Linked DNA regions of Bombyx mori. The protein of the gene in region 2 binds, or shares a complex with, the protein of the main gene of each other region. Links are inferred from orthologs where the notes say so. Each region holds a gene or a part of one and is shown on either strand. Other genes may lie near its edges.

The links.
Region 1: the proteins of T-complex protein 1 subunit gamma (region 2) and viral IAP-associated factor homolog are in contact, whole or in part, in a cryo-EM structure (PDB 8I6J), measured with the Homo sapiens proteins. The link is inferred for Bombyx mori from reciprocal best matches to the Homo sapiens genes CCT3 and PDCL3. Residues at the interface, in NP_005989.3 of Homo sapiens: Met47, Pro53, Met54, Val58, Met59, Thr60, Asn61, Asp62, Ala65, Arg68, Glu69, Arg167, Ile258, Glu261, Phe264, Leu268, Gln269, Glu271, Ser297, Asp298, Leu299, His302, Ser380, Glu382, Ile383, Arg389; in NP_076970.1 of Homo sapiens: Glu66, Ala70, Met73, Tyr74, Arg75, Arg77, Arg78, Trp82, Leu182, Pro212, Lys213, Ile216, Glu217, Asp218, Val219, Arg226, Leu229, Met230.

What each region holds. Positions count from the first base shown.
Region 1 is NC_085131.1:763,619-768,010, reverse strand, and holds the start of viral IAP-associated factor homolog, read right to left. Parts: upstream 2,957-4,392; 5' UTR 2,807-2,956; coding exon 2,801-2,806; intron 2,717-2,800; coding exon 2,584-2,716; intron 1,637-2,583; coding exon 1,408-1,636; intron 1,233-1,407; coding exon 1,024-1,232; intron 500-1,023; coding exon 387-499; 3' UTR 1-386. UniProt on the Homo sapiens protein: Acts as a chaperone for the angiogenic VEGF receptor KDR/VEGFR2, increasing its abundance by inhibiting its ubiquitination and degradation.
Region 2 is NC_085127.1:10,948,873-10,952,641, forward strand, and holds part of T-complex protein 1 subunit gamma, read right to left. Parts: intron 3,678-3,769; coding exon 3,523-3,677; intron 2,925-3,522; coding exon 2,756-2,924; intron 2,015-2,755; coding exon 1,922-2,014; intron 1,007-1,921; coding exon 892-1,006; intron 1-891. UniProt on the Homo sapiens protein: Component of the chaperonin-containing T-complex (TRiC), a molecular chaperone complex that assists the folding of actin, tubulin and other proteins upon ATP hydrolysis.

The DNA.
Region 1 (4,392 bases), on a different chromosome or scaffold from region 2:
TATGACTTGAATTTCATACAGTCACATACTTTCGCAAGTTTTGTTGTAACAATTAAATCTAGTTATATCAATTGTTTGCGACTAAAGAAGTTTTAATTTTTATTTGAATCAATTACCACAAAAAGACTGCCATCAGACATGGGTTAACCGGTCTCTGTATATACGCCATTACTATAGATTTTTTTTTACAACGGGGTCCTATATAACAACACAAGTTCACTTGATAATGATGCTCATTTAGCACAAACCTTAATATATTAATTTAATACAGTTCACATAAGAAGCTTTTGATAAGTAAAGCGACAGAATACAGTTTAAAAAAAAAACATACTGTTAGATGTAACATAAAATATAAATTAACTTTAACATAAATTAATATTCTAAAATCACCAGTCATTACTTCCAAGGTCAGTAAACAACTTGTCTTTGATCTTTGGTCGGGGATCTTCTGTTATGCTCGTTTCGACAGCTCCAACCTTACCGAGTATGTATTCGAGTTCTGGAAATTCAAATACATTTATTTTATTACTTTCCACTAGCTCATCTCAATTTGACTATAATCACTAATATCTCACGGTTCAGACTCATTTTATTCATTATATTTTCATTTTTGTCTATTTTTCAATGTCAATATAATTTAATTCATACATAACTCTATAACAACCACTACAAAAGTGAATTGATTCACAAAGTTCACATAGAACTATTGGCCATGCTATATAAGGTATCAAGCTATCAATTACCATCATTTAAAAATTGATTTATTCACAGCTACTTCAACTACAATACACTGTATTGAAGTTCACTCTTGGTGGCAAAACGGATGCTTCTCAATGGAGACTCACATGTTATACTGCTACTGACTAAATTACTACTACTGTATTAAATTTGCTATTGGTGAGAAGCAAGCCTTGTGGTGCTATTGTTATATGATAACAATCACTAATAGTAATCCTTACTAAAAATGTAACCAATTATAATTAAATTAAAAAAAAACTATAAAAATCAATTCTCATAGCTTACCATCACAAGTCAAACTGGTGCCCCTTAGTTCGTGGGACCCCACAAACTGCTGCTTCATTTCGCCCTCAAAGTAAACAAATAAACTAGGCAGATTCCTCTCTGGGAAGTTTGGGATGCAAGTCTGAGCAATGGCTTTCAAGAATTTTGTGTAGGGAAACTTGACTGCTAATTCTCGTAGATGTTGATTTATTAGTGCACATTGTTGTATTCTGAAATTTTTTGATTTATATGATTGATAATAATCATTGGAGCAGTCTGCAGATAAAGGGTCATAATGGCCCAATGACATAAAAAGTCAGTGCTAGGTTATCTAGAGGAAAAAAACTACATACATTGATATTGGTTTATCTAATGTCTTTATATCTTATTCATCGTTCCACTCACCCCTGTTTGTACAAATGAATGACCACCCAAATGTCTTGACCAGCCTTGTTAACCTCCTGCACATAATCTTGACCAGAGACTTCTCGCACTTCTCCGAATCTAGGCTTCTCAGACAGCTTCTTAATTTCTGCTAATCGTTTCCTGCGGTACTCTTCTATAACAGCCTCATCTTCTGAATCTTCAAGTTCGTCCAATCCATCAAGGTCTAACTCAGATAATTGTTTTTGTTCTGTGAATAAGTAAAAATTGTTATTATTGGAGACCATCACAGTCAGTCCAGTTAATTATGTAGTTTATAGTGTTCAAAACACTTGCCAAGGGTGGCTTGAACTCTCGTCCTCAGCATACAACTATCTACGATGGTGTTTTGGCTGATGTTAAAAAAAGTGTCCCTATCAACTGAACTGGCGTTCTACCAATGAAATGAACTCATTAACTATCCTATCAATTCTCTGCACCCAATAGGTGATGATTACTACATTTTTGAGGGAGTCACTTCTTAAATTCGTAGGGTTAATTGTTCAGTATGTCAGAATGGAAAACAAAACACAAAGTTAATTGTAAATTCATAGCTGAACATTTATAATTATAATAATACAGAGTGTGACTAACATTTTGTCAGATCTTTAAGAAAAATATTTCTTTAAACATTAGTAGTGTCTTAACATGTCTTGTTATTCCTGAATATTTTCAATTTAGTTTATATATAAATTCAAGCAAATGTATTTTGATGTAACAAATAATCACCAAAAAATTCATAATTGGTGAATATTCATTATCTATGCCAGTACAAAAATGAATGCGTCCCACTTAACTGTACTTACTAGAGCTAATTTAGGTGATGAGTCTCGCTTGGCTGAACATTTCATAAGGTGTTGGATGCAAAGAATTTTTTTAACAAAATGATTGAATTGCAGAAAGAAAACTATTAATTTGGTGACTGTTTAATTCCAGGATTCATTTAGTGTACTGGTGATGCATATCAATTATAAACTAGACTAGTCTAAAGGAATGTATAATGAATAATGAAATTATAGGTACTTAAACCAAAAAGTTTCGAAGTTCATTACGTTCAGTGTTTCCGGGTAATGATTCACTGTTGATTACTGATGAGCCAATACATATTGCATTTACATCGTAGAGCTTAACCTCAAAAATTCGTATTTGTTGACCTACTTTCAGCTTCCTTTTGCTGTATTGTGTCCTCTATCATGTTCACAATATCGGCCTCCGAAAACTCCGCTTCTTTCTGCGGTATAATACCCATCTTTCGAAGGGTATCGTTCCATTCTGTATCTTCATTGGGGTTCTAAAAATAAACAACAAAATAAAATTAAACTTTTCACTTTAATGTACTGCACATCATTTTACTGATAAGTTCCATTTATTATACCTGCATTTTATTAAATTAACAATTAAAATTCTAATAGTTGAAATACATAAACTTGCTCCAGCTTTTCAGGAAATTTGACACCAGATATTTTTTCCATAGACTTAACATTGAGACAGGCAAAGGAAACTTTGTCATGAAATATGTAGAACAATAGGTACCATGACATGGGGTAAATTGGGATCCTGGGGTAAATTGGGACAAACCTGCGGAAGATTCTCAAAGTACCTGTAGCACGGAATTTACCTAATTTTGTTTAAGTTAATATTTATCAATGTATAGAAGAAAAACCAAGTTAACTATGGAAGTACTAAATATGAGTTAAGTTGGTCCCAAAAATTCGTCAAATTAAATTGAAAATAGTGGTTGAAAAGTGAGTTTTAAAACAGCTTAAAGAACTTTTAAAAAAAGTAATATTATCGTTGTTTTTTCAATAAGATCACAGTTTATATAAGTTTTTAATACACCTGGAAATACCACAACAAACGGTAAGTTGCAATATTCTTATTTTAAATACAATATTTCGACAAAATAAAAAATGTATATTTTTTCCTTTCTTTTTGGGGAAAATTGGGACGTATGTAGGGTAATTGGGAACGAGACTGGAAAAATTAGGGACGAGAAAACACAAAATTGGAACGCCAAAAGACAAAATAGGGATGGCTTGTTAGGGTTGTCACTGATATCTTATAATAGATTTTTTAGCCTATACTATCACTTAATTGCGTGATGTAAAGAAGGTTAATGTGTTTATCAGTTAGTTTATGTAAGTATTATAGGTAAAAGAAAAGTATATATATAATTACTTTTTTTCGCGACATTTACCTTGTAATATCTGCCCGGTCGTATGTTCTTTATAGCAATAAAAAAAATTAAAAGTTAAAAGAACTCAAACGAATCAAAACTTTTGTTATTTCAGAATCTATTCACGCATCGAATCATGATTTTGTTAACATTCAAAACGCACACACAAATAAAAACAGGCCTCAGATTTTAAATGTAACATTAATTAAAAATCCGATATATCCAATTATGAGTGAGTGAATTAATTGAGTTTAGTTATTTAGCTTAGAAAGAATTTCTTTTATTTTTGTTATTATTGGCAGTAATCAGATAAAGCTGTTTTTTTATCTTATTCACCTGATATCTTACTCTTGCTCAAAGATTATTTTGAAAATGTTGATTAAATAAAATTGTATTATTGCATTTCCAGTCCTTTTGTTTTCTATTTTTTATTCTATTTTATCAATTTGTTTCAGAGTTGTGATTTTTAAGGAAATTAAATAATAATTTTCTAAAATATAACATGCACATACTTTTTTTGATCATTGTATTGTTGATTATCATTCACGTCACATCGCTTCGGAATAGAAACCAGCTTAATTTACACTATGTTGTGTATTGTGCTTAAATTATGGATTGTATTCATCATTTCGGTCCATATAAATAATTATATGGCACCTACCTATATATCGCAGTACTGCGAGTTGACAACCCTTACAAATATCCCAATTTAACCCTTAACCGTGTCAATTTACCCCGGACGCTGGGTAAATTGGGACGGCCATTATTTTACCGATTATTTCTTTAAAATG
Region 2 (3,769 bases):
GTGCCAACCGCCTTCAGTGCGAATTTTTTAACGTTCTCGATAGCGTAAAAGTTAACTCATGTTTGTATGAAATCGTTTGCGTACGTTTGCCGCTAGGGGCGCTGTTCCAACTGCATACAAAATTGGGTTAACTTTTACGCCATCGAGAACGTTAAGAAACTCGCACTAAGCACGCGGAACTCTGGCATTACGTAACGTTCTGAGCGCAGTGCAGCCTGCAAGTATTAAAATCTCTAGAGATTCATATTCTAAATATTAAACTTAAATTTTTCCTATTTACTTCTAGTATTGAAAAAAATCAGAATTATTGTTGTGTTCGCATTATCTACAATACAAAAATGTAAATATAATTTTATCATTCACTGATCGTAATGAAGTTCATAAAAATCGGCCATGATATTGGCAGAATATGCGAGGATCAAACTAAGCAGATTGATTAGATCTGTATATGCCAGTTGTTTTGAGGATCTTCCGCCTTTAAAGGTTTGAGTAAGGGTCATGGCACACTATGCAAGCACTGCAACGGCACCGCTTCAGCCCAGTGAATAATAGCTTGTCATTTGAATTTGATCCTTAAATCGTATGTCGTATAATATGTTTCGTAACGTCGGTTGCGATATCGGGACAGTGGTGGGGAAGACCCTAAATCACCTCGTGTATAATCAAATCGTAACCCGATTTTTATTGTTTACCATAAACTCTAAAAATCGCTGGGGCGAGCTCACGACGATTATCCCCACCACTGCCGTCCCGATATCGCCACTGATTTTAGGGTCGTGCGTAGGCCGCTTGAAGCTTCTTTCATAGCGCATACGTTGTTATGGACACGTTCACAGTGTACTGTACTATATATTATTAGCTAAGCATAGGTATACAGCGGGGTGCTAGTACCGAGCGCGGTGGCGACGGCCCTGTAGGGCGTGTTGTGCGCGGCGCGGTGCGACAGCGCGCTGGACACGGCCATCTCCGCGGCGCCGCCCCCCGCCACCAGCCGCGGCGACACCACCTGCACGCACAACATTATATTATAATCAATTTCAATACCATCATTATGTATTTGTACATGATGGATATATCGATATCATAATATGGGCAATTTAATTCTACCACTTCAAAAAATTCTGTAAAAAAAAAGGTAAAATAAACAACCTTTTTAATTATAACTAGCGACCCGCCCTCGCTTCGCTTCGGAAACATTAAATTTTATTATTGATAGGCGAGTCCCGCCATGTTTGGCGCGGTACGACAATAACTGCGGGTGAGGCCGCGGGGCGGAGCTAGTCTAAAAAAAGTAGCCTAAGTTACTCCTTATATCATCAGCTACCTATCCGTGAAAGTCCCGTCAATATCAGTCCAGTCGTTCCAAAGATTAGCCGGAACAGTCAGACAGACAGACAAAAATTGTAAAAAATGTTATTTTGGTATATGTACCGTATATATATTCATATGTATGTAGTAAAAAGAGGCTATTTCAATATTACAAACAGACACTCCAATTTTATTTATATGTATAGATATTAATTCTGCAATAGTAAGAAAATGAATAACAATATTAAACAACTTCATTTTAAGTACACAAAATAATTATATTTACCCTAAGTACTAACTAATAACGTATCTCTAGTATGAGTTCTGTTTAAAATCATTAGGACAGAATGGGCATTTAAAATAATAAATTAACACTTATATTTGTTTTGTATTACATTTTGAAAATCAATCATACTTTTAAATGTGGACATTTATTGGAATTACCAAATGTCTTAGTTCTCTCTTTTTTTAATCATACAATGACTTTATATAATTATATAAAATAAGAAAGATTGTATTTTTTTTAAACCAATGATTTCTTAATCGAATATACGATTCGAAAAAAAAATGCAAATTCATATACAGTAGATAGATAATGTGTCAATACACTTACCAAATTCTTGGCGACGTGTAAAGCGTCTTGAAGATTCCTTTCAATCTCATTCAGGACATCCTTAGAAGCACCACGGAGTAATATTGTGCATGCCTTCAAAATGTATTTTTAGATTATTATTCCATTTTATTTTACTCATTTTCTATATTCATTTTAATAGTTGAGAGGAGAAAATGCATATCGTTAAACTATTATTGTAATACTATGAAATTATTGTTAGGTATACTATTAATCACTCCAGGTCAAGGAGCAAGCGCAAGACAGGGTAAAGTGGAGACAACTTGTGAGAGCCCTATGTACTAGCGGGGTATCCTAGGACAACAACAACAATACTATTAATCAAGGTAATTTACGCTGCACTGTCCTCAGTAGGTCATTGATGCTCTTTTTTATTGTTTAGATAGGTGAACGAGCTCTCGTCTCATGTTAAGGGATTGCAACCCACAGACATCAACATCAATGTTGTCATCGTCCTTTATTATTTAACCAGACAATTTAACACTCACTGTTATCATGTTTGATGCATTAAGAATCGCCAAACATATTAAACACTGTTTAATAGTGAGTTTATTTTAAAAAAAAAGATGAAGTAGTAATAACATCTACTATTTAAGTGTTTGTGTGTTTTTCTTCCATACATTCTTAATGCACTTCTTCAATTGTTTTGAGACTTGGTAGCTGTAGCTGGTACTTCAGGGAATAATTATTTTACAGTACCAAGACATGACAGGTGGTAAGTGAATAGTTTCAAGAAATCTATGTCTTACATACAAGTAATGATAATCACAGCAGAATGTGAGCAGATTAGTGATTTAAATATAATTAATTTAGTACCTTGGGGTTCTTGCATTCAGTGACAAAAGTGAAATATTCATCTCCGATCTTCTTGATCTCAAACAGTCCAGCTCCAGTGCCGACATCGGATTCCTTGAGTTCCTCAGTACGGTTGACAATTGTTGCTCCACACGCCCGCGCTAGACGGTTGTTGTCCGTTTTACGGAGTCTAGAATGATTTTCAATTAATTAAACTGAGAAATAAAACTTTAAAGGTGTCTGCTCAATACTGTAATGGCAAATACAGAACTGAACTCAATAATTCTATCCAATCATATCGAAAATTTAGTTTATTGCTCACAAAGCGGAAATAGTTGATTGAATGTTAAGTGGTTACGAGTGTGTGAGTTTTATGATCTGCATAAACCTCAAACCCTCACTGCACCCTCCACATAGGTCATCTATCAAGTCATAGTCTCAAATGTACCAGAATGTACATGCGTCAAATGTACCAGAATATCTTTATAATCAGAAAGCATGGTGATTTACTGTGTTATAGTTACATTATTGTTACTACATTACATTATTATTACTACATTACATTATTATTACTACATTACATTATTATTAGACATAGTATTATTTATAGTTACAAGACATAATGATAGCATGCTCAAAATAAGAGATACCACTAGTTAGTGTGGTACTTACTACCTCCAAAAATGTGTTAAATTATTACTACCCTTTTATTAAAGCAGCACATCAGTCACAATGAAACAAAACAAAGAAGGCTTTATTCACATATTATACAATGTGAAAATACATACCTGCGGATAGCAGTAATTCCAGCCTTAACAAGGTAATGTTGTGCAAGATCTGAAACTCCCTTTTCGGTAAAGACAATATCTGGTTTAAGTGCAATAATTTCTTCACATTGACGCTGTACATGTTCCTCTTCTAGTTGTAGCAGTTTAGTGAAGTCCTATAATAAATAAAATCATGTTCGTTATGATCAGTCAAATTCTACATTCTAATCTATGTATATATATAAAAATGAATTGCTGTTCGTTAGTA